Linked DNA regions of Oreochromis niloticus. The protein of the gene in region 1 interacts with the protein of each later gene in a pairwise test. Links are inferred from orthologs where the notes say so. Each region holds a gene or a part of one and is shown in the gene's direction. Other genes may lie near its edges.

Evidence for each region.
Region 2: the proteins of lnx2a (region 1) and phykpl interact in binary tests that used the Homo sapiens proteins (3 or more experiments, as listed by UniProt). The link is inferred for Oreochromis niloticus from reciprocal best matches to the Homo sapiens genes LNX2 and PHYKPL.
Region 3: the proteins of lnx2a (region 1) and lg8h10orf88 interact in binary tests that used the Homo sapiens proteins (3 or more experiments, as listed by UniProt). The link is inferred for Oreochromis niloticus from reciprocal best matches to the Homo sapiens genes LNX2 and C10orf88.
Region 4: the proteins of lnx2a (region 1) and mylipa interact in binary tests that used the Homo sapiens proteins (3 or more experiments, as listed by UniProt). The link is inferred for Oreochromis niloticus from reciprocal best matches to the Homo sapiens genes LNX2 and MYLIP.

Annotation. Positions count from the first base shown.
Region 1 is NC_031974.2:18,923,279-18,930,849, reverse strand, and holds the start of lnx2a (ligand of Numb protein X 2a), read left to right. Parts: upstream 1-4,570; 5' UTR 4,571-4,744; intron 4,745-5,795; 5' UTR 5,796-6,183; intron 6,184-6,970; 5' UTR 6,971-7,128; coding exon 7,129-7,532; intron 7,533-7,571.
Region 2 is NC_031966.2:26,039,976-26,047,671, reverse strand, and holds the start of phykpl (5-phosphohydroxy-L-lysine phospho-lyase), read left to right. Parts: upstream 1-4,681; 5' UTR 4,682-4,812; coding exon 4,813-4,871; intron 4,872-4,966; coding exon 4,967-5,085; intron 5,086-5,216; coding exon 5,217-5,376; intron 5,377-5,456; coding exon 5,457-5,531; intron 5,532-5,616; coding exon 5,617-5,704; intron 5,705-5,796; coding exon 5,797-5,913; intron 5,914-6,033; coding exon 6,034-6,116; intron 6,117-6,205; coding exon 6,206-6,431; intron 6,432-6,687; coding exon 6,688-6,842; intron 6,843-7,258; coding exon 7,259-7,348; intron 7,349-7,472; coding exon 7,473-7,606; intron 7,607-7,696. Other genes in the region: protein FAM53C, read right to left, coding at 558-794, 1,069-1,895, 1,974-2,052, 2,147-2,230.
Region 3 is NC_031973.2:113,511-120,479, forward strand, and holds the start of lg8h10orf88 (ATPase PAAT), read left to right. Parts: upstream 1-3,961; 5' UTR 3,962-4,101; intron 4,102-5,305; 5' UTR 5,306-5,341; coding exon 5,342-5,490; intron 5,491-5,648; coding exon 5,649-5,846; intron 5,847-5,966; coding exon 5,967-6,036; intron 6,037-6,119; coding exon 6,120-6,311; intron 6,312-6,572; coding exon 6,573-6,701; intron 6,702-6,969. Other genes in the region: asb3 (ankyrin repeat and SOCS box protein 3), read right to left, coding at 1-20, 99-276, 427-559, 974-1,086, 1,190-1,360, 3,508-3,709. UniProt on the Homo sapiens protein: ATPase that regulates mitochondrial ABC transporters ABCB7, ABCB8/MITOSUR and ABCB10. Regulates mitochondrial ferric concentration and heme biosynthesis and plays a role in the maintenance of mitochondrial homeostasis and cell survival.
Region 4 is NC_031985.2:20,357,493-20,365,182, forward strand, and holds the start of mylipa (E3 ubiquitin-protein ligase MYLIP-A), read left to right. Parts: upstream 1-4,689; 5' UTR 4,690-4,842; coding exon 4,843-4,929; intron 4,930-6,079; coding exon 6,080-6,270; intron 6,271-7,690. Other genes in the region: dtnbp1b (dystrobrevin binding protein 1b), read right to left, coding at 741-1,663, 4,464-4,527. UniProt on the Homo sapiens protein: E3 ubiquitin-protein ligase that mediates ubiquitination and subsequent proteasomal degradation of myosin regulatory light chain (MRLC), LDLR, VLDLR and LRP8. Activity depends on E2 enzymes of the UBE2D family.

The DNA of each region.
Region 1 (7,571 bases):
TCAGTGAGATAAAAAGTAGCAAGAATAACTACACAATGCATTTATACAAGATCAAACATTCCAACATTTTCCAGGACATCATGGTGTTTTTACACATTACCAAACTGGTTATATATTACCCTAGATTAGTTAGAGAACCCTATTAACGCCCTTAAAGCATGAACTCAGTGCAGAGAAAAGACAATAACAAAGCAAACATTTTTAAAACTGTATTTTTGCTAACAAGAAATTAATTTTCTCACATGCTGGTTACACAATACCAAACATTTAACTACAGGCAAATTAATGGAAATAAATCCCCAACATAAAGCATTTTAGTAAGAAGATCTAGTGACTGTGAAAGCCATGAAGTAAAATTTACATTCATATTTAAACCACTTAGTTCCCTGAGGATGACTCCTGGAAGAGACGACTACCATCGGGATAGAACTTTTTCAGCACAGGAGAAAGGCCATCGTTTAAAATCTTCATATTGACTTTCAATGAGGGGACAAACCATGCTAGGAGACTGCTCTCTGCCACACAGGCGCTCATCCACCAGTCGAGAATACGACCACTCGCTCTCAAATGTGCACTGCTCATTGTAATGAGGGATGAATGCAGTGCAGCTCTATTGTAATTGTTTTACAGTAGGGCGGTTCTTGGTGACAGTCTGATTACATCCTGCACTGACATCCTCATTCATCTGAGAAGGAGTTGCTCTTTACTTTTACTGGGTGCACTGATGCACGACCATCACTTTTATCAAATGTGTGCAGTCGACCACAGCTTCCAACCCCGTTTTACTGACGCCTTTCCCATTGATCTAAATCGCTCAGAGCAGCATGGGACCGTAAATCTAAACACATTCAATGAAAAATCAATCAGTGCCTTCCATCTGTCCTCCTATCAGTATCAGATATTCTTTTTTTAGTACAATAACTTTATTGTATGTAATGAATCCATGCTTCCTCTTACAAAATGAGGTACATGTCCTCTGAATACACTCTTTTATAGTCTACAGTATTTCTCCAGCATTTTTTAATACTCATAACTTAGGAGGTGAAAAACAAATTGGAGCTTTGTTAAAAGCAGCAACCAAATCAATGTAACGCCCACTGCAAGTGTCAGGATCTAAAGTAAAGTTTTAAATGGGATATATTGGAGTTTTGGTCATTCACTGAAAAAAAAAAAAAAAAAAAAAAGCATTTGGGTCAATTTTAAAGGGTCACCATGTCAGATTGGAGGCAGGTCAAAACAAGATATATCATTTACCTACATTTTTACACTGGGGTCACCTTCTTCTTTGCAATCTAAATCATTTTTTAACACAGTCATGATTTAATACTACTTTCGCTCTCATAGATTTTAAATTTGTGCAGTTTTGCTATTAAAGCTAGGATCTAGCCCATAATACTGATGCTCAAAGTTTGCTCAGGGGCTATAGAAAAAAACATTACACTGCCTCTACTATGAACATCCTGTCTAAGATCATTAAGGACAGCGTAATGGGTATCTGTGTCTATTTTAACTTTCACTTCAAGTTAAAATAAGTTTGTATTTGATGCATCTTAATTGTATGCACTGCTCAGGGAGATGCTCCAAATTTCATTGTGCACCTATACAGAGACAAATACATGCATTCTATTCTCTTCTATTCTAGGATGTGACATTTTGAGCACGTGTAAAGTTCATATGGTTGCACTTTTTAGCGGAGTATAAATGAAATTAAAGGTTCATTTTAAGTAGATATATTTTGTAGAAGAAGTTATGAGGGTTTGAGATGCTAGAAGAAATAAGCCAAATTAAAAAGTGCCAAAATCTGACCCACTCATGCCCTCTTCAAGGGACTGCAACATTGAAAATGGTCATTCTGAAGGTAAAATTTTGGCTTTATTAATCACACTAAAAATATATATGTGTGTGTGTGTGTGTGTGTGTGTGTGTGTGTGTGTGTGTGTGTGCGCGTGTGTGTATTTTGTTGTTTTAGTATGGAATGATTCTGCTCTCACTTTACTCACTGCTCCTGCTGAAACACCAGGAGTTGTGTGACTGTCACATAGATACTTTTTCCCCATTATCCCATTACTTAGATCATAATCTGAATTAGCAGGACCTGCCTAGGATTTTCCTACATGCTATGGATGCCAATTACTTAACTGTACCATGTACTGCACCTTCGACCTTCAGTCATTTTTATTTGTCACCACTCTTATCCCTGTTCTACACTGGATTCAAATTTGAGGTGGGTTGATCAATCCAAATATAGTATCAATAGTATTGATACCAACACTGCTTTTGGTATCAGATCCATACTAGTGCAATAGGAACGATACTTTGTTTCTATCCTCTAAGTTCAGTATCTAGCCCAAGGAATTGCTTTAAATCATTTTTAGTGAAAAATATACTTCAGGTATGCACTATGAAAAAATTACAGGAATCTTTTTTTGTGTTAACCTCCACATCAATTTTATTTATAGCTTATAGCACATTATAAGCTAGAGAATTTAACCTAACGTGCTGCACATTTAGACTGCAAGTCTCCAAAAAAGCCATTTTCACAGAAAGCTAAAAGATGCGTTTTTATGTGTTAACTAATTATAGTGAAAAGTAACAATGACAGCGATTTAATGCTCATTAAATCTGTTGCAAATGAATGACGATTTATTAATTTTCTTTTACAATTTACAATTATCGGTATCGGCAATATTGGCCGTCTATGTACCTGGTATCAGATCGATACCAAAAATCTACAGTATCGCACACTACTGCAGCCATTTTCATTTAGTTCAAGTGCAATGCACACATTATGTGGGGTTCAACTACCAAGCCTTCTTACTAAAGCAGATAAGTAAGAGTCAGACAGATGGCATATCAGACACGGTGCTCACCATCCTGCAGGGCCCATGGTCTCTGCTCTCACGCGGGCTCTGTCAGTCTCCCTGAGGAGCTCCTCCACTGCACGCCTAGATGGATAAATAAAGAGAAAAAACGTCAAACACTGTTCACATGCAGGGGAGGAGAAATGGGGAGAAGCCGAGGACAAAGATGGCGCAAATCCTCAAGGGGGAGCCAAGGGGAGAATAATCTAATTAAGTGAGAGAAAACAGAGTGATGCGGAAGAGAAAGTGAATCATCAGGAGCAAAAGGGGAACAGTGTCCTGGTTTGACCCGAGCTGCTGAATCGGCACAATCCCAGCAGAGGAGACCCGCTGATCTACTTTTATAAAGGACAGGCAGCTGATGGTGTGTGCCACCACGAAGGCAGGCTTTCCATACAATCACAAGCTCGTCTAACAACACAATAAATGAGGCTCTTTTTTACCGACGGAGCGCTGTTACGGATTTAGAGGAAACCTGCGTTCAACAGTGCGCAAATACCGAGTGAGGACAAATATTAACACAGCTACATACTTCTCCAGCTCATTATCTTCTGCCATCGCGATCACACGCAAGCTTAATTGCGCTAAAATCGATGGATGATCGTTAATTAACCCAACATCGCTTGTTTACCTCCTCGCGAGGTCCTCCGACCGAGGACCCCGAGGATTTTTGCTGCCCTGAATAATGCCAGATCATTTTTAACTTCACCGTCCACCCTTTTCTGTTTTCTGCCATTTCCCAAATAACTTTCGTGGACAGTAACCGACTAAAACGTTATAATAAAAAAAAAGAAATCCTGATATTTAGGTCTGGGCTCTGTTTATCACACAGTTAACAAAATGTACCCGTTTAGTAAAACGAAAGCGATGCCGCAGTGGTTGTTTTTAATTCCCCATTTTTACCGTAAACTGGTATAAAGCTGCTGTGTTCATCAAAAATATTAGCTTAACTTAAGAAGTTGGCAGTGGTTTTGTCGTCATTATTTCTGACCATAGAACGACCTAAATTCTGGTGAGGTTTGTTTATTTTATTGCTCTGCTTGGTGAATGTTATACGTCAGTGGAAAGGTTTTTGTGCTAATTAACTATTAACATCTCTCAAAACTTGTTGAGAAAGGGAGACATTCTCATCTTTAAAAGCGGCATTTATCCAAAACTGAAAGCTGTAATATTAAGTTTCACTTATTATTTAAAATAAAACTAAGTCATGTTAATAAGTTTTAATCTCACGCCCCCTTTAAACCTTTATAACAGTAGCCTACAATGTAACCAGTAATCTTCAAAAAGAATAACTTACAGTATGTATGCATTTATTTATTTACGTTTTTGTTTGTTCCCTGTATTTATTTATTTATTTATTTATGTATATGTATTTACTTATGTATTTTGCATGTATGTATGTATGTATGTATGTATGTATGTATGTTTATATATTTATTTATTTAGTTATACGTGTTTATTCGTGTATCGATTTACCTATGTTTGTCTGCGTTACAAATATATCTGTTTATTTTGATGTGTTTGCTGACTTATTAGAATTTTTATGCATAAATATATTTAAACGCATTTTGTTTTATTATTTATTTTTATATTATATTATTTACTTATTTATTTGTCTATTTGGTTGTTAATTATTTATTTACGAAAAGGCGGTCTTAAAGCCACCCCCTAGCTCTCCTCTGGATTGACAACCGTATGCCCCGCCCACTCGGTTTTGACGGACAGCAGTGGGCGGGGTCAGCGCTGCCAAAGGCACGGGGGCGTTTTCGTGCGGGTTTTGCGGAACGGTCCGTTGCGGTGGATGCGTGATTGAGGTCCCGCGGCTAATAATCACCCCCCTTTTTGGGGCCGGAGTGCACGGCGCGGAGGAGCCGCCGGAAAAGGTAACGTCACATCACATCTGCCCGCGCGAGCGGTGTCAGTGTGTGGCTGGCTTTGCTTTCTATGCTGCTGTCGCCTCATCGGTCCCAGGTTTTTCCGCTTGTGGGGAGGGTGGGATGGAGTCAGACAGATGGGGGGCAATGATTAAAAAGAATTTCTGGTATATGCAAGACTGTCGGGCTTGCGTATTTGATCATGACACTGCAGTGGGAGCGCTCCCAAGGTAGATCAGGTCTATGCCAGAAAAAAATAATTGTAAATTTAAATTAAATCAGTGTCTTTTTTTTTGTTTTTTTTTTTTGTTATCTTTGTGTGTCTGGGTGGTGTGGAGGGGGGTGGTTTAAGAAAAAAAGGCAGCCTATTGCAACAGACCTTGCAGAACAGCAGCAGCAGCAGGCCTGTTCCTGCAAGTGGCTACCAGAGCCTTTTTTTAAGATAAGAGAGATGGGGTTTTATGAAAATGTAGGCTAAGCCGAGAGGACCTGAGATTTTAAATCTGTGGCCTAAAACATCATTTCATCTTCTTTGAAAATGTAATTCCTGCACACTGGACTGCCATGTCCTGTAAGATTAGATTGTCATTTCGAACAATAAGCAGAGAGACAAGAGTGTTATTTACTGAAATGGAAAGCAGTGCAATGACAATAACAGCCTGGCCTTGGACTCTCATACACACACGTACATACACACTGTGTGGTGGGATTAAAAGAGATATTCTACAAGCATTTGCCAGTCTTCATATTGTTTGTATAAAAGAATCTGTTGCAACAGCTCTGTTTAAAACACATTTAAGTGCTTTTCACTGCTCTGAAGTGCCGTCACAGTGAAAACACGAAGACTTTACTTATTGATAAAGACCATTCACAGGTACCTAAAAACGCTCTTGTGCTTGATGTGCGTGTTTGCTTTTGGTTGTGTAGACTTACGCTCGCATGTCTACGAGTGTGTGTGTGTACGTGTGTTTGTTTGTGTGTGTGTGTGTGATGTGGTGATGTCACATCTTTGTTATAGAAACAGAGAAGCCTTGTGTCCTCATGATTAATTCATGTCCAGCTGCGGGATAGAGACAGAAGCAGCCAGTCACACGCAGACAGGAGGAGCACGTACTTAAAGGAGGCTGAAATAAGTAACTACCGGTGGGGTGGCCAAGGAGACAGGAGGGACAGGTTGTCACAAGGAAGGAAAAAAAAAAGACCCAGACGAGATGAAAAAAGCAGAAAAAAACGACTCAAGGGGACTCTCATCATCATCGTCTGCGCTGTCTGACAAGCTTTCAGGCTGTACCGAGGAGGAGGAGAGCATCCTGCTGAGAGGAGTGCATCTGTTGTGTGGCTCCTCTGCATCCTTCTCTGGCTACACTCTGAATGTCAAGCCCCACTGAGCAGAACGGGATCCAGGTCGTCATGGAGACAGGAGCAGACCCTCGCTGGAACAGAGGCAGGTAGTCACTGTATCTTGGCTGGGCCCGCTGAGCGTAGAGGCACGCCCTCTGCTGTCGGCTGATAGCATCTGGCCCCTCGGAGGCTGGGCTAATAGAAGGGCCGAGGGGGTCTGAGGGGCTTTGGATGTGAAACGCTGTGGAAATGATCAGCGCACACTGCGGTGCATTAGCTCTGGGGACACGCTCTGCTCACTGGAGTGCTATATTTCAAGACTTTGCTTTGGGCGTGTTCTCTTTCCGTTGTAGAGGAGACTGAGTTCATCTACTGTACCCAGCCTGAACCAAAAATATCAAGCGTTTTCCTTGGCTTCCCCCTCCTTCCCTCCATCCTCTCTTCCATTTCATGTTCTTATTCTTCCCTTGTACCTGTTTTCACATCCCATTGATCTCTTCTTCTTTTTCTTATTCCACCTGTCTACGCTCCCTTCCATATCTTGTCGGCACCACTTTCCTTTTCTGCTGCTTTCCCAAGCTCACTTTCTCTGATCTGTGCCCTCTCTCTGCCTCAATCCCAGATAATTCCCTCTTTGTGGAATTGGAAGATTGGAGCAGGCGAGAGCAAAAGAGAGATTATACTACCAGATTAGTGGACAGAAGCAGCAATACATAATCTCAGCTGTGACATAAATGGGCACACACACACACTCGGTGTCACCCTCGGTCTCATGCAAACACGTGGGCACACGTGCACAAAGCATTTGCCACATGAATAAATGCCCAACACTTGTTGTCTTGTTTTTTTCTGAAACAGCTGTTTAACTCTCTTGTTTTGGCCTCTGACCCACAGGGTGATGTGCCATCAGCCACTGGGGGGCATCTGTCCTCTCCGCCACCTGTTCAGCCTCTGAAGCTTATGGGATAGGAGTGTGTGCGCCCCTTCCCAACCGCTCTGCATCCCAGCTGGACTCAGTCGTGCCAAAGCTGAATTGTGTTGAAGGAGAAGACATGGGCAGCCCGGGCTCCGAGGTGGGTCTGGCTGGGTCCATGGAGCCAGCTCTGGAGGCTCTGTGTCCCGAGTGTGGCCAGATCCACCGCAGCTGGGAAAACCACCTTTACAACTACCGTCTGGAAGTGGACGACGATCTGGTGTGCCACATCTGCCTGCAACCGCTGGTGCAGCCTCTCGATACGCCATGCGGACACACCTTCTGCGCCCGCTGCCTGCGTAGCTTCCTCCAGGAGAGGGACTTCTGCCCTCTGGACAGGACGCGGCTGCAGCTGCAGGCATGTCGCAGGTCCAGCATCCTGGTGCACAAGCTGCTGGACAAGCTGTCTGTGTCCTGCCCTTTGACCCCTGTCTGCTCCCTCAGCATGCCTCGCTGTGACCTGGAGGCGCACCTTAAACACAGGTAATAAAGCTTGTATGCAGATGGATGAATGCATGAGAT
Region 2 (7,696 bases), on another chromosome or scaffold:
CTCTCATTTAAATCAGTCAGCCGAATACAAAAGTAGTCTGCTCGAGTATCAGAAGCAGCACTGAACAACAATCGGTCTCATTCAGTTACTGGCATTTAGTGTGTGTCATATAATAGAAACATTCTGTCAACCCCTGGCTATAAAGTTCTTTGATAAGGATATGTAAGGCTATCAAGATGCAAACCAATGGCTTTTGCTAATTAAGACTCGTCTTAATATCAAATATTAGTCAAAAATGTGTGCGCATTAAATCTTGCTTGTTCGCTCATGCACATTTCCTTAAGGAGTGCTTCTACAGGCCGGCACTGACAAAATTTGTGCAATTTTGAATAGTGAGCGAGCTCAAGTGTTATGATCGCAGCAATGTCATTGGATATTAGCCTCCCACATGGGGTCATTGGATCTTACTTTTAAAGTCTAGACATTTGTATAGAGAGGGCAGCAGGTTTCCACCAACTGCCAGAAGAGCATGTTATATTAAAAAAAAAAAAAAAGCCTGCAGGTGTGCTTAACATGGTTATGAATGCAGTTATCACACTGAGAGCACCAAGGAGCGATCAGTTTTCTTCTATAAGGTTCAGATCCAATTCTGTACAGTCTCTTTCAAAAACAATCTTTTGTCCTCCATCTGCAGGCCTCCTTTCGTCTTCCTCTTCCTCGCTTTCACTGAGCGGCCCGATGCTGGCTCGTCCCAGGAACTCTGCCGGAGAGAAAGCTGAACGTCGTTCCACCTGCGAGGTCACTGGAACCAAACCGCTACCTGGTCCACATGCAGGGCTCTCACGATTACCAATCTGAGCAGGAAAAACCATGTGCATCGTGGTCATCATGTCACTATTTTTATAGGCAAAAAAAATAAATATCTTGCATCCTTGCATCAAATAATAAGTGAACAAGATAAAGTGGTAAAACATAAGTGATGAGAGAAAAGCAAAAAAAAAAAAGGTCATATAAGGTCTCAAAGAAAAGGCTACATTTAAGGAAAGTAGTGAACTTGATTGCTCACCAATACTATTAGCCTTGGTCACAGAGCTACTGTAACACTGATGGACCACATTCCTTGCTCACCTGTGTCATCTTGCTGAAGTCGAGGACTGGCCTCGGGTAGGGCAGAACATCTGGGTCATGGCGCCTCTTTAAGCGAGGTTTGCGCATGTCACAGGGCTGCGAGTGGCATCGTGGCAAAGCAGGGTGGAGGTCACGCCTAGATGAGGATGGTGTGCTGCAGGCTGAAGTGGGAGATGGAGACAGGGCTGGGTGCTCCAAGTCAGAACGGCCACATTTCAGAGCTGAACTTGGACAGGGTTGGGGGGGCAAGGGCACCATAGGGGACTTCTGAATGTGTACAGGGGAGAGGGAGAAGCGACGCTGCAGCACATAGTGTGAGGTCAGCGGGGCCGGCGAAGAAGAGCACGAAGAAGGTGTAGCAAAGGAAGCAGAACACGCTCCTTTCAGTGTATCGCAGGGGTCCCATGGGAAACCCCATGATACCGGGGAGTCAGACGATAGCGCTAAGCTAAAGAAGGTAGGACTAGCAGATGAGTGTATGGAGGAAGAGGGGAAGGAGGAACTAGGACCACAAAGTGGCAAAGAGCTGGCTCCAGAGCCTGAACTAGATGCTCCTCCACTGTGACAGCTACGTTTCACCGGGGTCCAAACCCTTGATGCGCTGGGATGCCAGGTGGTGCGGCACTGAGATAGATCCTCTGGCACAGAGAGGGACCGGCAGTGGCGTTTTGGAGGTGGTGGAGGTGAACTTTGGAAAACCTTGAAGGGACGTTCTGGTCCCCGGAGTGATTCTCCAGAGTGAGAAGTAGGCCATAGTGAATCAAGTCCACAGGAGTCATCCAGAACACTGGCAATAGATGATGGATGTGTAGTTGAGGTGTAGCTCTCTGAAAATGCCAAAAAGATAAACATGAGGCAAATTTCCGCACTTGCCACAAATGTTGCTCTTAATTCACTAAACTTGCCTTGTGTCGTTTTATGAGCACTCCACGAGACAGTGGGACTGGAGCCCACTGTAGGTAATGACTGTAACAAACAGAATGACTTGTTTTCAAAACCACAAGTGGGAAAACCAAGTCAATGAAACAAAATCAGTTTGAAGGACAAGACTTTGTTCCATCTAAACCATCCAACTCACCACATTCACACTGAATGAGAAGGCCTTGTGATAGGGTTCTTCTAAACTCTGCTTACGAAGTTGCTCTGTTATAAGAGTCACCATATTTGTAGCTATGATCCAGGGAGAGACATGGAGATGAGGAGATTTACCGAGGGCAGTGAAAGTGTCATTAGTCAGAATTCTGGCGTGGTTTGTGGCGTCCCCTCTACACCTCAACCAGCCAGACTGACCAGCTTCCTCACTATGCCACCATCATCTTTATGCAACCTAGAGAGGCAGGTGAGAATAGATGAAAACAAATTAAATAAGTGGTTAGACAAACTGCAGAGAAATCACACTGGGACAGAAGGTACTTTCTCATGGGGAGTTTTCTTCCCATTATAAACTATAAGTGTTTGGGAAAGCCCATAGCAAGAGGAACAGAAAAGCTGCACACCAAACACTGACCACAGAACTATGCGAACCAAGGTAGGATTTATATGCTGCTCTTTCACTCATGCAGAAGCAGAGTTTATGCTCATGAAGGCGAGAATCACACATGGACATGAGGTCACCCTGAACAAAGCAGCACGTCACATTTCAAATTAAGTTCATATTGTCGTTCCAAATGGGACTCCAAAGAAATTTTTATTTCAAAGGAGATGCAGAGTACAACTCAAGTGAAAACTTTTGCTGCAATACAAAGACAGTCAAGTCAGTAGGGTCCAATAAACTTAAATGACAAGAGTTGTGAGTAGTAAAGAATGGAAGGGGGAGGGAAAGGCTAAAAGGGAAAGGATGGAGGGGGAAGTGTGTGAAAAATGAATGGGACAGGGGCTGGAAGCATACCATAGTATCTTTGTAAAGGGGACAAAAGAATAGTAACCAGGTCTCAAGGACTTGAGACATACACAGTCCTGAACTACTCTACTTGTAATCAAAAACTTTAAAATGCATTAGTTACTGAATGCACAAACACCTGAGAAGATTAACCTGCAGTAACCCATGTATGGAATCCCAGGAAGTCTATTACTCAGTGCTGTACATCTCAAATTGAAAGTAACAGACAGAATGACCGCTGCATTAAAATGTAACATGACCCATTAGCCTTTGGACTTCTGTTTAAAAGAATGTGTAGAGCACATGTAGGGTGAAAAAACCCCTAAAAAAACAAAACAAAAAAACAACCAAATATTAATCTAGCAACTTTGAGGCCCTTTGATGGCATTTATATTCCAGCTCACTTAAGAGCCTTTCGTTCAATCACTGTTGAGTCAAGATGTGGCCTCCAGGGCCTTCCTCCTCCTTGTGGCAAACAGTGCATTTGCTAGCCTAGTTCCACATGTCACAAGACATGCTATTTAAGGGGCACAAGATCAAGCTTTTTCCACTGTCATGTCCTGAACACAATCAAGAGCTGTCAAGTAACTAGTATAAAACTTTAGCATCACTTTTCAGTGTGACTAGCAAACATCCATTTGATCAGCATAAGAAAAAAACTATAGGATGTTGTCAAAATGACAAGAAACCTCTAGCACAGCCACCTTGATAAAATAGCTTTGACTTAAGGATAATGTATCTAAAAAACAAAACTAAAAAATACAAAAAACATGCAAAACAAGCGAGTTTAACACAGTGTTGCGCAGCTTATCTCGACTCAAAAACCACGTTTCTGCCCATCAGCTAAAATTCATGAACTGCAATCCAGCTGTTGTTCGTTACAATGTAACACATTAAAATAATGCTAAACTTACAGGATCGATCGGATTCCGATTATAGCCGGTGAGCAAGGTGGTATGTGGTAAGCTAGCTCACGAACACGATGCAGCCAGTGAAGCACCAAGTTGTCAGCTAGCTCATAGGATAAATGCACTAAAATTACTAGCGTCAGTTTATTACAATCGATCTGATTGCGACCGGTTAGAGGCTTGTCATTCCAGTCGGTTATAGCTACGTTTTGTTAAAGCCAGTGTTAAAATATGCGTTCATAAATTTAACGCTAACCCAATAGTCTATGCCTAAATCAGTTGTGGCGTTAGCTTGGTCACGCAGCCTGGTTGCGAGCTAGCATGCTACAGCTGTCTTGATGTATTACCTGCATTTGGCCGTTCCTAAGCAACCAAAGCTGCGCAGCTAGTGCACCGGGTGGCGAGCAGATTAACTGAGTATTTATAGCTTTTGGACGATACCAACTGAGAGGGTGTCTTTGTCACATGCTTTTACAACTATGGATTCAAAAGATACTTAAATGAGGTTTAGACACACAAAAAATGTATAAGGTTTACTTTTGTTTTTCGAAATTAAACTAAACTAACAGCAAAACACATTGCAATTATTTTTACGACCTTCTGTCATTTTGACCGTCCCACACTGACACCGTTCTGGATAAAACGAGAGCGTAATTGCAAATCTTCCTGACTAACAATAAAGGCAAAGGTATTTTATAATATAGGTCGAATAATAAGATATTTATTAAATGTAGATACCCTACCTTATCTGTGACAGAGAAAAAGAAAAGTTAAAACTACAAAGTGTTTGAACTTAGTGGGAAGTGAACTCAGCTCTGCCACCGACGCATGCGTGTTGGGTCAGTTAGCGAAAGCGTTTTCTGTTTTTCACAAGTTTCTAGTCGATAGCCGTCATAGTTTATGACATTTTCTGTATTTGGTATACGTGAAATTAAAATAGAGAGAGATTAAGTGGTCATGGCGCAAGAAAAACTTCGGAAAGAAGAAACTCTTGCAATGAGGAATAGGCTAATCGGGTATGTAAGATGAAACTTGGTGTTTTCTTGGCGCTTGCTAACAGGCTTATAGTGCATATAGTGCTAATGACACGTACTCATTTCTTTGATTACAGCCAGTCATGTAGACTGTTTTATTCAGAAGACCCAGTGAAAATAGTAAGAGCACGAGGACAGTATTTATTTGACGAAAATGGCAAACGCTATTTGGACTGTATCAGTAACGTCCAACATGGTAAAACCATTATCATCCACTCTCAAGTCTTTTTCTAACCAATTAAAAAATACAGTACAATACACTTCTGCCACCTAGTGGCAGGACGTTTCGACGCCCTTACTGACATGTTGTATGTATGTTTTCTAAAGTGGGTCATTGTCACCCCGCTATCACAAAGGCGGCAGCGGCTCAAATGGACGTCCTGAACACAAATTCAAGATTCCTGCATGACAACATAGTCCTGTATGCTGACCGCCTGGCTGCTACCCTGCCCCAGAAACTGTGTGTCTTCTACTTTGTCAACTCTGGGTGAGTATTCTGTTGCACACGCTCATACTCCTAAAGAAAACATTCTCTAAAGTACAGTTACATCTATTTTTTCCTGATAGTTCAGAGGCCAACGATCTTGCCCTACGCTTGGCACGTCAGTACACCCAACATGAAGATGTCGTAGTTCTTGACCAGTAAGTATTTTTGCTCCACTGCAGCCCTCTGAACCCTGCAATTACACTTGCTTTTCAGTTACAATGAGCTCTCCTTCTACACTAGCGCATACCATGGGCATCTAATGTCTCTCATCGACATTAGCCCTTACAAGTTCCGGAAACTGGCGGGACAGAAAGAATGGGTTCATGTGGTGTGTAAATTTAGAAACCTATCATCACAAAAACTGCTACCCAACACTGGAATCCTGCTTATCTCAAAGAACATGTTCTTTCATCCTCCCAGGCACCTCTACCAGACACCTACAGAGGTATATACAGAGAAGATCACCCCGACCCAGGCCAAGCATATGCTGACACAGTAAAAGACCTTATAGAGGATGTGCACAAAAAAGGCCGTAAGGTACACTATAACCCAGTTCCATGCAGGCTCAATAAAATCTCTACTACACACACTCAGAACAGTGCTAATAATAAGAACATTACATTTATAGTACATATTTATTATCTTTTTTTTCTTTAGATCTCAGCCTTCTTTGCTGAATCCCTGCCTAGTGTCGGTGGACAAATAATCTTACCCCAAGAATACTTTCCTAAAGTTGCAGAGTAAGTAATTCTTCAGTTATCTGGTTGTTTTTGCTCAGCTGGTTGCACAACAATGACAGTGTGGTGCCTCCTCCTCATGTTTTCCACAGATATGTGCGCTCAGCTGGTGGCGTGTTTGTGGCAGATGAAGTGCAGACAGGTTTTGGGCGTGTGGGACATCATTTCTGGGCTTTTCAGCTTCAGGGAGACGATTTCTGCCCAGATATAGTGACCATGGGCAAACCGATGGGCAATGGGCATCCCCTGGCATGCGTAGCAACCACTGCAGAGATAGCTGGAGCTTTTACAGCCAACGGAGTGGAGTACTTCAATACGGTGACTATACAGGAACCTTAATGTAGCATAAATTATTGCCCGATCTCTAGACACAACCAGGTATTTGATAATACGTAATAGCTATTTTGCCATTTAACCATTAATATTAAAATGACATTAAGAGAGAAATAAGAGTTTTTTGAAGATAAACTGAAAACGTACATTTCACTCACAGTTCCTGTGTTACTTTTAAATATAATGCTTTTATGCATATTCTCAAGATAAATCACTTATTTTACTCTCCAACTTCATGCAGTTCGGCGGGACTCCAGTGTCATGTGCAATTGGCCTAGCAGTCCTTGATGTGATTGTGGAGGAAGACTTAAGAGGAAATGCTGTGAGGGTCGGAGCCCACCTTAAAGATTTGCTCACAAAACTAAAAGCACGACATGAAATAATTGGAGATGTCAGGTAAGGATGCTACATCAGCGGTATTCTGCAGTTCGTAGCACTTAAAAAAACACTAATTAAGCTGCCATATAATGAAGTTCAGTGCCTATACTAATTAAAGCTTGCCTACAGACATGTCCATGTTTACAGTGCCTCGTTGACGTCTCACTTTTATTTGCAACTCTGGTGTTTAAAGCTTACTTAATTTAGATGTCTAATTATTCAAATGTATAAAAATTGTCCTATTATACATATATTTGGTAGTTTACCCTTTTTACAGTATAAAAAGCAACATATAAATGACAAAAATGTTGGATTTTCACACACAGACTGCAAATCGCTGTCCTGGTACCTGAATACTTAAAACGTAAATGTATATGACAAGTATGCTAACTCTTTCATAATTCCAATAAAAGGCCATGTCTTTATTTCTGTAGAGGTGTTGGACTATTTTTGGGAATTGAGCTGGTGACTGACAGAGAGAAGAAGACTCCTGCCACAGAAGCTGCAGCGCATGTGGTCAAGAGGTGAGGGACTGCAGTGCAACATACAAGTTTTTACATTTCATATTTTTTTTTAAACAGCATACTACCCAGGGCTGTGCATTCAGAATGTGCTGTTCTGTGATTGGAGTTTGTCCTTTTAAATCAGGCTGAAGGAGGAGGATCAAATATGTGTCAGTACTGACGGCCCATGGGAGAATGTCTTGAAGTTTAAGCCTCCCATGTGCTTCGGCATGGAGAATGCAGAGCTGGTAGTGCAATGTATTGATCGCATCCTTACAGGTTAGCTTACCGTTATAAACAAGGTTACATGCATGCTATCTACTCAGTCCATGAAAAACCTCAACACCAAAATATAACCATTTCATTTTT
Region 3 (6,969 bases), on another chromosome or scaffold:
CTATGAGGCTTCTGAGGATGCTGGAGTGACAGAATATCAGAACGTCAAAAATACACAATCAGCCTTATTTTAAAAGAGGTTAAGTTATGAGTCAGTACCCGATGTGACCAAACTGGGCTGCAGCGTGAATGGCAAACTGGGGCCAATCGTGGCTGCAGACCATGTTAGGGTCAGCCCCGTGGTCCAACAGGAAGTCCACGCAGGCCTGGTGTCCCTCCTGAGAGGCGATGAACAGAGGTGTACTCAGATCAACTGCCTGCGTGTTCACGTTGGCACCTGAAGTGAAAGCAGGTTAAAAAATTAACTGTGTAATCTATTTTACTTAATTACTTCCTAAAGAAGAGGCCAAGAGGACTTGGAGCATGAGATCCTTTAACAAGGAGGGAAAAAAATGTACAGCTACCATTAAAAGTAAATCCTATTTACCGGCGTTAACGAGTATTTCCAGGCACCCCCTCTGTCCGTACTGTGCAGCCACAAATAACGGGGAAATCCTGTAATCATCTACTGCCTCCAGGTTGCATTTGTTAACAAGAATGCGCACGATCTCAGTGTGGCCCTTTGGGAGAAACATGATCTTAAATACAATCAGCAAACACACAAGGACCCCACAGCTAACGCTGGCAGCAGAGAGCAGGAACGTTTAAGCCCTACATTCTTCACAGTGAGCATCACATGAAATCGCTGCATCCCTGCATTCTGCTGAAATTTTATGTTCCAGTTTGCGCCTTTTCTGCAGGTGTTTAAAGGTAAAAAATGTGTTTATTAATAACTGAAATGTAATAAAAAGGTTAATACATCCACAAAGTCTCTCTCTCTCTGTGCCTTGCAGCCAGTCAGAAAACATAAGGGAAATAAGGGAAAATCCCCAACAGATGTGACCATGCTTTCCTGACCGAAACCAAAAAGTCATGATCTACTGTTAAATGAAAAATGTTTGTTTAAGAACGTGAGTGCTAATGCTAATGCCTACCTTATATGCAGCTTGGTGCAGGCAGGTCCAGCTGGACTCTGTGTGTATTCTGTTGACCTCAGCACCTTTGCTTACCAGCAGTTCTACAACATCTGTGTGCCCGTGGCTAACAGCTGGAAGCAAATTTTGGGACACTCATTTGGTTAGAGGAGCTTAAAGGGTTAGACAAGCAAAAACAGAAAAAAATTAAACATCAGTGAAGCGCAGTTGTAATACCTTCATAAAGAGGACAGGACAAGTCGTTAGTGAGCTGGTTGATATCAGCGTGTGCTTTGAGGAGCAGTCGGACCACTGACAGGTGTCCACGCTGCGCTGCCAGGTAACAGGCAGACTCCCCCTCATGCGTCAGATGGTTCACATAAACACGACTACAGCTGGAGGACCTTGCTGCACACAGGGGAAACCAAAGAGGAAGAACAAAATGCAAATGAGAGAAACCCACATTTAACTTTAAAACAGCTGCTGAAGTGACTGATTTATCCATTAATCATTCACATCCATCTGGAGTCTAGCAGAGAAGTAGAAGGAGTAGAAATACCCTCAGAGGTGGGAAGTAATGAAGTACAGATACTGTGCTTCTGTACTTTACTTTACTTTGAATTTTACCCTCTTCATTTTAACCAAACATCTCTACTTCTTACATTTTCTAACCAGGCTGATTTTTGTTAGGTTTACCATATGTGAGCTACTATTTCCTGTCTTTGGGTACTTTCCAGACATCGAACTAATCAGACCCCAAGCAGAAGGAACAATATCCATCACCGGGGCTCGCACATGAAGAGATCAAAGAGTAAAAAAAAATACAGTTTGCATCATTTATTTATTCAGTATACTCTGGGTTTTAATCAGGCTTAAATCAGGTTTGGGGAACTCCAGGCCTCGAGGGCCGGTGTCATGCAGGTTTTAGATATCACGTTGGATCAACACACCTGAATCACATGATTTGTTCATTACCAGGCCTCTGGAGAACTTCATGACATGTCGAGGAGGTCATTTAGCTATTTAAATCAGCTGTGTTGGATCAAGGACACATCTAAAACCTGCAGGACACCGGCCCTCGAGGCCTGGAGTTCCTCACTCCTGGCTTAAATGATATGGAATGCTATTTTTTTGGTGCAGATGCCCATAAGCTGCGGCTTGTGCTACAGAAGAGGAGGAGAGACTAACATTTTCTAATGGGCATTTTAAATGCAGTGTTTCTAAGAAATATCATCAAAGCCACCAACTGATTCATACACTGGATTCCACCTTTGCACTAGCTTTATGCTGTCAATGGGAAGGACATGTAATGGAAAATATTAGGATTCTGCTCTTTTCAGTGTCAAGCTGACCTGGCTCAATGAAAGGCTCCACAGTATCAGATTCTGCCTGTCAATACAAGTACAAGTACATCTTTTTCACAAAGAAGCATCCATGTAAATCAATAAAACGATAGCTCATGTAACATCAGCTCATATCCTGCTGGATAAATCCATAAAGAGGAGCAGGACAGGCTGGCTGATGACAGGCTGTGCACAAAATCTGTAAAATCCCACTTTAACCTTTCACTATAGTCATCTTACTGTTTGGGTTTCACGACAAAGTCACACATCTAAAGTGCAGTCAGCAGCAAAGAGCTTTTTAAATTCCCTTTCTTTTTTTGTTCAGCATATCAGGAGTTCAAGCTGAGTTAATTTATTAGAATTTGAATTTAAGTTGAAATAAAGTTTGTATAAATAATATTTTATTATAATATTAATATGGAAGGTGGAAGTTTGAGCACAAATCAGAGTGTGTACTTTTGTGTACTTTTTCACCTTTACTTGAGTAAAGAAGTACTTGTGTAACGTACTTGAGCAGTCACAAACTGTCGTCCACCTGAAATACCACATCGAGCAACAATGTGAAAGCACTTTGCTTTTCAAAACTTTGCCAGTTGTTGTTAAATGTTTGTTGAACTAAACATGCTGCTGTCTTAAAAATGCAAAATGAGCATGTATTTATGAAAAAGCAATAAAGAATCTCACTTTTCACTTTCTATCAAGTGAAAGCTGCCTTTACTGCTGTAATGGGCCCAGACCTATTGTGTTAATGTATGAGAACATCAGGAACATCAGGAGTGGCAGAAAAGTATGTGAGGCTGGTGCAAGACATGTTAGAGGACAGTGAGACAGTGGTAGAGGAGGGTAGGAGTGACAGATGGGTTGAAGGTGAGGGTGGGATAAGATCCGGGATTGGCTCTGAGCCCCTTCTTGTTTGGAGTGATGGGAACTGTTGGACACTAGGGTCTCTTCTAACTTTGCATCCAACGTTAGACAGGTAAGGCTGAGACCTTTCGGATATGTGCAGAGGAGGGACAGTGGCCAAAGGATGCCGAAGATGGAGGTGCCAGGCAGGAAGAAAAGAGGAAGACCTCAGAGGAGGTTCATGTGAAGGAGGACAAGAAGAGGGTTGGTGTGACAGAGGAGGATGCTGGGATAGGGTGAGACGAAGGAAGGCAGATGATCCGCCTGTGGAGAAGTAGTACTGGATATCTGTGCAGCAGCCTCTCTTACCTCTGACAGCTGACAGGATTTCCTGGACGCACGCTTTGCTGCCAGCTGCCGCCGCCTCGTGCAGGGGGGTCCAGCCTCGGTTGTCCCGACAGTCCACACTGCAGCCTCTCTGAATTAGCGTCCTCAGCCGCCTCCTGCACCCTGAGCGAGCAGCAGTGGCCACACTGGACACCGTGTCTCGGTAGCACTCAGTGAAGTCCATGCCCAGGTTCACAGAAACATTCGTTATTTTAACTTCAATAAGGATTAACAGTCAAAACACAACCTCAGAGTTACTCCGGATGATTTTACACGACCCGACGTACACATTTCAGTTGGATCCGGAAAAGTTTTTAATTAAAATAAAGAAATAAAGGTGTCTTTATTTACCAAATAGACATTAGGAACTGAACAACGGCATTCCGAGCGTCGCCTGTTGATGACGTCACACCACAACAACCCTACGATCCAGCGTCGCGTGTCAGCTGTAGCTTCAGCTAATCGTTTAGTCGTTAATTGTTGCTGAAATTTGCAGATTTTCAGGCATGTTTGGAGAAACGTGAAGAAGAAGAGACTGGAAGCTTCTTCTCAGCGGGTTCAGGAGGCGCTCTGAAGGTAAATGCGCTTTATTTCCCATCACAGCGAGACATTAACAGAGTTAATGCAGCTGTAGCAAAGAATCGGATGTGACCGTCAACATACAGCCGATAAGTACTGTGTGTACTCCTGACCTACACGTCATTCAGAGTAACATTTGTGCCTGTAATTTAAAACAAACTGTCAGAAATCAAACATATCACATATTCATCATTTAAATCTGAAATCTGGCCCTCCTGACTAACTGTGGACCAGGGAGACCAGCGGTCCCGCCTTATGTGGGACTGCACAGCATTTTTATTACTTAAAGTAGAAAGAGTTGTTAAAGCTAGTCTAGGTTAAGCAGAGACGTGATGATCGGTGAGCAGCAGTATGTTTTCATGCTGAGACAGAACTCTACAGATGTGATGTTTGAGAGTGCTGATGGAGAAATATAGAGAAGGTCATAAGGAGCTTCACTCTGTATTTATGGATCAGAGAAAGCAGAAAATAGTGTGTCAAGAGAGGAACTTTGGCACTCTGCCAGAGAACAGGGGTGAGGTGTGCTGTAAGAGAGACGGGTGGGCTGAAGGTGAGGGTGGGATTACACCAGTGATCTGCTCTGAGCTCCTTTGCAGTGGTGATGGACAGGCTGACAGATGAGGTCAGGCAGTAGTGTCCGTCGATTATGATGTTTGCAGACGACACTGTGATCCACAGTTAGACGAGGGAGCTGGAAGAAGCGAGAAAGAATACATGCGTGAATGAGAGGGAGACAGGTGGAAGAGGCTGAGTGAGTGGATGAGTTTAAACACCTAGGGTCAACCATACAAGCAACGGACAGTGCACAAGAAGAAGATGGAGACAAAAAGACAACACGAGCAAAACATGTTAAGATTTTCACTGGAAGTGACAAAGATGGACAAGATTGGAAATGAGTACATCAGAGGGAAGCTCAGGCTGAGTGGTTTGGAGACAGAGAGAGTGAAGCTGGGATGGTTTGGATGTGTGCAGAGGAAGGATAGTGGATATATTGGAGCTGCAGCTCCAGTATATCCACTATCTCATTACCTTTGGACTATCGTAATTCCATCTCCCGTCTCCAGTTCGTTCATAATTCAGCTCCCAATGACATAAGCACATGACTCTTATTGTTTCTGTCTTACAGTGGCTTTAATCAGTCTTTAATCTTGTCTTGTATCTGTAACCTGTTCTCTTCATTGTTTCCAATTTTGTTTCCTAGCTCGTTGGCTCAAAGGTTACAGCAAGCCGCAGCATTATGGTGGACATCTCTGTGAAAAGTGAAGCTGCTTGGGTCTGTCACTCTCAGGGGCGTCACCTGGCTGACGTCGTTCTTCCTGTTCACATCAATAACACGGCCAAAGAAGAAGATGAAGTCAGTGAGTTGGACAGAGAAGAAACTCACTGGTAAGAGACTTTTAGCTGATATTAAGAAGCAGTTAGTGCTATAATTAATAGGCAGTTGCAATTAATCTTTGTCTATTCGCACAGAAGGCAAAGATGAGAAGTGGATTTTCCTTTTATTTATGTGAATGGTACATTTCCCACTTATCTGCCACACACAGTGGTGATCCAGTGCTGCTAGAGCAGATGGAGGAAGGGTCTCCTTGTGTCCTGAAGTTCCACTGCAACCCCAGCTTACCTGCCACCATCAGCCGCCTGCTCGTTATAAGTGAGGCTCGAACCATGGAGGTGTACAGCCAGACTGGAGAGTACTGTGGGACTGTACGGGGATCGAAGGACAACAGCATCCAGCTAGACAGGTACACAGGCTGCACAGGTCAGAAGAGCCAATGAACAAAGGTCTTCGGTCTTCTGATAAAGAAGCTGCTGATTGTCTGATGTTAAGAAGTGATGCTTCTTCTTTTGTTTGTGGATCACAGCGCTGACAGAGGGCCTTTCTATAAGAAGCAGCTGATCATTGAGGAGCCATCCTCTGCCTGTGAAGTGAAGGTAAAACAGAACATTTTAATTTATGCTGTTTATTACGCAGTCGTGGTTGTATGAGAGTCTAACGAGCTGCTTCTCTCTCCCAGTTACTCTCCCTGGCAGGTAGGAGCAGTGTTATGGTGGCTAAAGTCATCGTGAGTCTTCAGCTGCTGCAGTCCTGCCCAGCCCCAAACCCGGGCATAGACATGCAGCGAGTGCAGTGTCTGATGGAGGAGATGGGAACAAGCCTGTCGCCAGGAGCTCAGAATCTCATGGAAATGGTGCAGTTCCAGCAGAAGGTAAATTAGCTCAGAGATGCTCTCTCTGACATTTAAAATGTGGGCGTTTCCTGCTGACCAGTAATATTTCTGATAAAGTGCAGAGGAGAGTATGTCTTATGGATTTGAGTTTCTGTGTACCTCGTCAGGCCTCTGTCTAAGATGTTATTGTTACTGGAACTGGAACGGCTTCTCTGAGTGTCCAAAGCATAAGAACTAACCGGACATAAAGAATGAAACAGCAAGCTGGACTGAAGCATGTGTTGGTGTTTGTCTCTCCAGAATCAGACCGGCTCTCTGGCTGGTTTCCTGCCTCTCCTGATGGGCAGTGGAGCTTTCTCTGGTTTGGGGAGAGAAGTCAGCATGTGTCCAGGAGCTGGCAATATTCTGCCTCGACCTGCAGAATTTAAGGTACACGACCCATTTGTGCTGTTCTTTGTTCTTAGATTAGACCATTAAAAAACTCGGCCCACACCAGTTTGGTGGAGAAGAAAGGAGTGAAGTGATTTTGTGAGTGTGAACAGAGCCTGAAGCAGAAAGCCTGGATTAACTAAGAAAGTTCAGAAAAACTAAACTGGCTGGAGTCTGAGGTTTGGTCTGGAGTGTCTGCCAGAACTTTAATCCATTAATGCTCCCTGTTTGATGAACTCAAAGGAAGACCTTGGACCACTTCATTGAT
Region 4 (7,690 bases), on another chromosome or scaffold:
CCAACCCAGCACTAGCAAAGAGCATCTAATAAAGAGGCCAGTGAGTGGACACAAAATGATATGTTTGACTCCTTGCTTGGATTCACCCAGTATTCCTCCCTAATGTGATGTTTGTAAATGGTAGTACAATACAGTACAAATCACAACAAATCTAAGTGGGATTACTATAACCTACAGGCACAGAGTGTCCATTAAAATTGCTTTTGGGTTCACATTGTAGTAGTTTTACACAATAATTTCACTTTTTGAATCTAAACTTTTCATTTATTTTATGTATTTATTTTCAAATTTAAGCATGGTATGACAGTCTGTGGTTTTACTGTTTTCTCACTACTCATAAAAACAAACTCCAGGTTGCAAAAAAAGGCTTTTATTCATAAACACATGATATATTGGATTAAATCTCCCTTTCCTCCCATGCATGGAACCAGCCATGTGTATAATATTTTCTCAGACACCCAGAAAGGCAAAAAATAAACACTGACACTAACTGTGCAGCGCTGCGTTTCTGAAAATAGCATTTCTAATTAGTTAGCCACAGTGACTGCATTTGAATCAGCACAGTTTATATCAGCAGGCGGCGGTTTACACAGTCTTCATGCAAAAACAATCTCACTGATTATTCACTGAAATCTGGGCCATTTCTAATCAGCAGTCACACTAACTAAGATTTGAATATAATTAACCTACATGGTGCATGGTATGAAGTCCACCACATCAAAGACAACCAAACCTCTAATTTAAGAGGTCAGTCTATTAGCTGTTAGGCTTCGAGAGAGCCACACTCCCTCTGCCAGTTCCTTAGTTCTCTCTGACAACTTCCATTCTGCCCGGTAGCGTAAATCATCCCTCTCTTCTCCTGAATCAACAAGCTCAATCCTCAGGAACATTTCTTTCTCCAACATCATCGAAGCCAGCACAGAGTCTGCAGCTTGTCTGTTTCTTGGTAATCTGGGAGAGGACCGAGACACCCCTCGACGAGTGGGAGGGCCACCTTTAACCCCTCTGCTTCTGACATCGTCTTCCTTTTGCTTCACCAAAGACACATCTCTGCCATCTGAGGCAGATGTACTAGAAGAACTCTCATTGGTTGATTCTGAGGTGAGAGATGACTGTGTGTCCTCCAATTGGTCAAGATCCACTTGGTAGGCTAATTTCTTATTACTTTGTCTGCTGATGGACAGACAAGGAGGCCACCGGAGGGAGAGACATTTTGTCACCGCCAGCCATAATTCTTGAGGCCTGAATAAACCTGACCTTGGCTGATCTGTGTCACAAAAACTGTTTCTTTCCTCCATTTCTGCATGTTCTCCTTCAGAATCCGACTCCACCACCTCTCTGACGGAAACTCTGTTCGAGTTCTTTGGTGACTGTTCCTCTTCTTCACCTTCATTTTTTGACGCTACCTCCTGATCCTCCCCAAAGCTGAAAGAACTGCTGAACCTCTGGCTCCTCTTCATTGCTCTTTCTGCCTCCACATCAGACTCCGACGATGAATCTCCCTCTGACGAGCGTCCACACGGTGACGACCGATCCTTTGAGTCTTTCGACCATGGCCGATGATTCTCTTCAGACTCAGAGGAGCTGATCGCCCTCTGGCCTCTCCTCATACTTTGGTAAACAATTCCTCTCCTCCAGCTGCCCAGTACTACTCTTCCTTTGGCTTAACAGCGACAGATTGACAGAAAAAGAAGCGAAGTAGTAACAGCTATCACAACAACAACAGCAGCCGCAGCAGCTCTGCTAGCATGGCACATTCTGACATAATATCTGCTTCAACAGGCACAGCTATGCCAGTGGAGCTGGGCAGTGATGACGTTGTGATGTCATGTGCCCACATGCACACATACACACACTCTTGCACAAATCCCCTGCATGCATGCTTCAGTCGAGTGAGATGTGACTTGCCTCAAAGGGAAGTGATGTCACATTGCATGATGTCATACCTAGCCTCGAACCAGGAGTCTACAAATGGTCTGTGTTTGTGCAAGAGCGCAGATGGTGGAAGGAAAAAAAAAAATAGATGCCCTACCCTTGAAATTGACCTAGATGTGCAACATGGTAGTCGTGATAATGATTTTCCTTTCTATGCTTTATTCTTTGTGCTACAGTTGCGATGACATGCGTCGAAAATAGTTTGTCTATTTTTGTCACAGGCTACCAAAATATACATTAACTAATTGGGTAAATAAAGCATAAAATACTTAAAGTGAAAAATAAAAGAATGAATAAAATCACTGAGTTGCTCCAGATGTTTTTGCGTTTGCCATAAATATTGGTTCATTCGTCTAATTGTGTTTGTGTGCATGTGTTTACTTTATTTTGGGGTGCTGTAGGACAAAGAGAGAATTTTTGAAAGCGTAAACCAATAACAGCAACAGCAGCTGTGCTTCTGCTGGAGCTCTGTGTGTTGTAGCAGTAGTAGAGTATGTGTTTGGCAGTCTGCTCAGTGAGTCCCAGACTAACAGCGAATGGTAGGTCACTGGCTATATGCTTGCTTTTCCATTTATGGTCCGGGTGGCTGCTCAGACGTCACGTCTCTCTGCTCATTCACTGCACACTTTCTTGCATCACCTCGGGGCAAAAGGACATTGCCTACTCCAAGCTGGCTGACATTCTCACACACAGAAAGACACACATACATGTTACATCAGATAAAATCTGTTGAGTCGACGTTTGAATATAGGCAGCGATGTGTCGTTGAAGGGAAGAGAAATTGATAATGCCTGAAATGAGAATAATAACATTTCTCATACTGATTTTATCTGATGTGATCAAAAATAAAAACCTAGTATTTCTAGTCTGGACTACTGTGATTCATTATTATTGGATCGCTCTAAAAGCTCCCAGAAAAGACTTCAGTTGATCCACAATCCTGCAGCTAGAGTACTGACAGGGATTAGAAAAAGAGCACATATTTCTTCCATATTGGCTTCTTCTGATAAATCCCTGTTAAATTTAAAATTCAATTTAATATCTTTCTCCCAAAATCGTGAATAATCAGGCCATGTCATATCTTAAAGACCTCTTAGTACCTATCCTAACAGAGCACTTTGTTGTCAGACTTGTGGATTACTTGTGTTTCCTAGGGTATTTAAAAGTAGAATGGGACCCAGAGCCTTCAGCTTTCAGGCCCCTCTTCTGTGGAACCAGCTCCCAGTTTGGATTTGGGAAAGAAACACACCCTCTACTTTTAAGATTAAACTGTTAAAAAACTTTATTTTTTGATAAAGTTTATAGTCAGGGCTGGATCAGGTGACCCATTAATCCTCTCTACTGCGTAAAGTCTAGGCTGAAGGGGTCTTCCCATGATGCACTAAGTGTTTCTTCTTCACTCACCTCTTTTCACTCTCTATGTGTTTACACACCTCTCTGCATTTAATCATTAGTTACTATTAATCTCTGACCCTCTTCCACAGCGTGTCTTTTGTCCCATCATCCTCTCCTCACTCCCTGTCGCAACAGATGGTTGCCATTCCCTGAGCCTGGCTCTGCCTGAGGTTTCTCCTCGTTAAAAGGGAGTTTTTCCTTCCCACTGTCGCATACCTGTTTACTCTGTTTGTGTTTTTGGAGCGCGAATAAAAATTTATGGTGCTACCCAGATTGGCAAAATCTATCCGGAACCCGAGTTTGGGTGAAATCACTTTCCTCGTGTCGCAAGGATTTTCATGGTTTAAATAAATGAAACCTGGATCCTCAGGTAAGATTTAAATGTGATAAATCGGAAGCTAGTACAGACAAAAACACGGCTGCCAGGAAATTACTTCATTTGAAGAAAAGTGTCAGTGCTTTTTGGCATTCAAAAAGTGATCCAAATAAAAGGGCCACGGAACACATTATACATCTTTAAATGTGCAGTATGTAAAGCTGAATCTTATTTTCACATCCCTTCCAAGTAAGTGCTTTAATACAATATCTGAATGATGAAGTGAGTGTTTTTAGGACTCAGCGAGGCAGTAATGCAGTGGCCAGGGAGTAGAAAAACATAGAGAGGCACACTGCATCTACTCTAAAATGTCCGCTGGCAGACAAACTCAGAGCTTGGCTGAATACTATGCCTCCATAGTTTAAGTGTGGCTGCAGCTTTCTGCAGTGTCTTATCTGGCATCACTACACACTGATGCTGAATAATATATCATGAAATAGCAAGATGTGAAGAAATGATGAGGTAGAGCAGGCTGAATTATTAAGTCTCTCTTAGCCGTTTTATCTTGACCTTTCCCCCACCTTGACACACTATAATCAAACAGTTTCACGTTCTCCAACACTCAAACGCAGCAGCGTTATGGAAAAGTTGAAGTTGCTAATATATATTAAAAAAAAATCACAAAAAGCTTTGGATGGAAAACAGCAAACCAGCGAAGCTGAATGCGCTCCAGTTATGGGAGTTATTTCTGGACTGCTTCCACATACATTATTCACACGAAACGAAGGGTTGACGGTACACAAGCCATTAAACTCACCCGGAGATCCGCACGAGCTCGCTGAAACATCACAGCCACGAGGACAAGGTGAGTTCAGGTGCATGCAACAGGCGAGCCAGGTGAGGGCGCAGTGGACTCCTCGCAGTTCAAGGCACGGGAGGCGAGCTCGAGCCCGAGCGGTGTGCGGATGATACGCCACTTCTCATTGGCTCAGAGTGTCAAATAGGCGGTGCTGTGCGCGGCGTTTCATTGATATACCCTACAGCTGGTGGCCGCGAACACCAAACGGAGTGAAAGGGCTAAGAAAGTGATGACGGCTTGATGTAGAGGGGTTGTTGTTTTTTAAGCGAAGGCTCGAGAGTTGGTTGATTGTTTTAAAGAGTGGCACACCAAAGATTTCCAGAAACAAACAGCCAAAATGCTCTGCCACGTTACTCGTCCGGATTCGGTGGTGATGGAAGTGGAAGTTGATGCGAAGGCGAACGGTGAAGATTGCCTCAACAAGGTAAAGACGGACAGCACGTTTTATTCTTCTTTGTGTCTTCATGTGAGAATAACACGTCGCCGTATGTGCGTCGGTGAGGCAGCACGGCTCGGGTTGTCAGAAAAATATTTTCTTATGTTTCTGTCAACTTCACCTCTAATGTGTCGCATTCATTTATGAGTCGACTAAATGTGGTGAATAAGACCGAAGAGCCAAGTTTCTGCACGATTAGAAGATTTTATTTGTTTTTATTTCTTTAATTAATTAATTCGCCACAGCTTCAGTGAGCTTCAGCTTTAAGCTACAACAAAACTGTCACCTGCTTTGTTGCTTGTAGCAAACAAGGACTGAGGAAACAATGTTCTGAGCGCCAAGTGCAGAAAAAAGGTCAACTTTTTCTTCTTTCGTGTTTTTCTTTTCTTTCTTTCTTTCTTTTTTAAATAATACAAACCCTCTAAAGTGTCACTTCTGTCAAAAAGCCACGGGGCTGAAACACGTAGAGAAAAGTTTTGTTAGGTTGCTGGGAAGCTGCCGACTGCCACTTCAGGCTCCTTCGCTTAGTCAGAGGCAGATGGCTTTGTGCAGGTTACTCCAGGTCATCCTGCCGCCTCTCAAGATGAAACTTAGCTTTTCACATCTCTACCCACCACCACCCCCAACTCAACATGGACACAGTAGTAACTGTTATTTCCTTTGATTGCCATTTCCCCTCCTCATTATGATGTTAATCTATTTAATATGCACAGAACGAGTTTTATCTCAGCCTCCTGGCTCCCTGTGCAGACTTTCAGCAGCAGTTATGTAATAAACCCATGGTTGCTGCCGCCGGAGGAGCGTGGGATTGCGGGCTTGATGAGCCCCTGTACCCCGGGAGGGGCTCCAAGTTCACTTCGTGAGCTTCAGAATATTGATGGGGGTTTGTGTGTCGGAGTATCTGCAGTAACAGCAGTACTGGTGAATTTCCTTGTAAAAATAATAATAAAAAAAAAGTCCAGTGGGACTTTACTCAGTTGGTTCTCGTCACTTTCCACATGACAAGAAAAGTTATTGATTGCCTCTTTAAAGGAGCTCTTCACCAGCTGTCGCTGTCCTGTGGTGAAAAGCTTCACGTCTCACTTCGTGTGTGTGTTTTTTGTGACACCCCCCCCCTGCTTGTTTCGTCTTTCTTCAGGTTTGCAGAAAGTTGGGCATAATCGAAGTAGACTACTTTGGGCTGCAGTTCACAGGCAGCAAAGGAGAAAACCTGTGGCTGAATCTGAGGAACCGCATCAGCCAGCAGATGGATAATTTGACACCCTGTCGGCTCAGGCTGCGGGTCAAGTTCTTCGTGGAGCCCCATCTGATTCTGCAGGAGCAGACGAGGTACTTTGAAAGCTCGCACGCTGTAAAGACACCGTGCGCAAGGAAATTTGCTCATAGGCCTTAGAACAGCTATAACTGTGAACTACTTCCTCTTATTGTTTTGAGTGTGTAAATGTGTTCGTCATCTCCTCTAAAACGGGTCAAAGAAATAACATCTTATTTTTTTTTTCATGTACATGACTTTAATGAGGCGCACGTGTTTGGGGAAACAAAACAAAGCCACCATTGGCGAGTTCCCAGAGCATAATCTGATCACTGTTTCCAACAAAGCGAAAATGCCCTATAGTAACCTCTTCCCCAAGCCCTTCCGGGGTTACTATAGGTCATTCTGGTGAAGCGCCAGGGAGGAAATATGATCCAGCAGCTCTGGTGCTGTGTGCTGCTCTGAGCCTACCCCCAGGGACCCTCTGTGTGACAGCCAGGACCTCTCGTCACTGCTCCCATTCAACTCTAAATATCTTTTTGTTTCGATTGTCCATGGCCGTTTTTTGCGTGAACAAAAGCCCTCCCGTTTTCTGTTTTTTCTGCAGATGCAGTTTGGGGGAAAAGCTTGTGTAAGGAGTGCTTTCCCTTGCGAGAATATGCCGTCAATTAGAAACACGGTTGCAGCTGAAGTTTTGGATAACTGTTGTTCACTTTCTGTGCTTTATTGGTCATTAGACAATGGCAAGCAAAGCTGCTGCTACAGTGAGTTGACATGTAGTTTTAACATGTGCCCTTCTCTGCCAAACTAGTTTAAAAAAACAAGTAACGATCCCAGGCATGTCTGAATGGGTAGTCCCCTGCCCACAGACTGTGAAGTTATAAATGGAAAGTGAATTTTCAGCCCTTGAAACGAGTCCCAAAAACTTGTTTTGAACACTAGTGTGATGGAGTCGATGTTATGTTCACCCTGGGCGACGTGATGAGTGTTTGATACCACGGATATGAATCAAGGAAGCACTTGAACTGCAGCATTCCACTAGAACTATTTATTAAGCTAAACTGTCCCTGTTGTTCCCTGGTTCGCCTACTGCTCCGACTCTCTCTTCCTTCTCCCTTCACCCTGCTCTATCCAATGTAAAAAGAGGGCAATTCTACGGTTTCTTTATTTGCTGCTGTTGGGTGATTAAACTGTGCCCACTCCCATTTCCTCTCTGTCTGGCTCTTCTCCCTCCACCTTCATATTCCACTCCACTGTAGCCCATATTTGGCAACCTTTTGAAGAGGAAAGTGAAAGGACAGTCAGGGGGGCTAAGGGCACGGAGGACACTTGGCTGCCTGCGCTCTGACCTCCAGTAGATTAGCAGGAGTTATCAGCAGATGGCTGGTGTTTGCTCAAGACTTTGGGGGGGGGGGGTGAAAAGAAGTGAGATAAAGATTTTAAATTGCAGGTAAGGTCAGGTGGGTCGCTGCTAATAAATACTCGCACATGTCACAC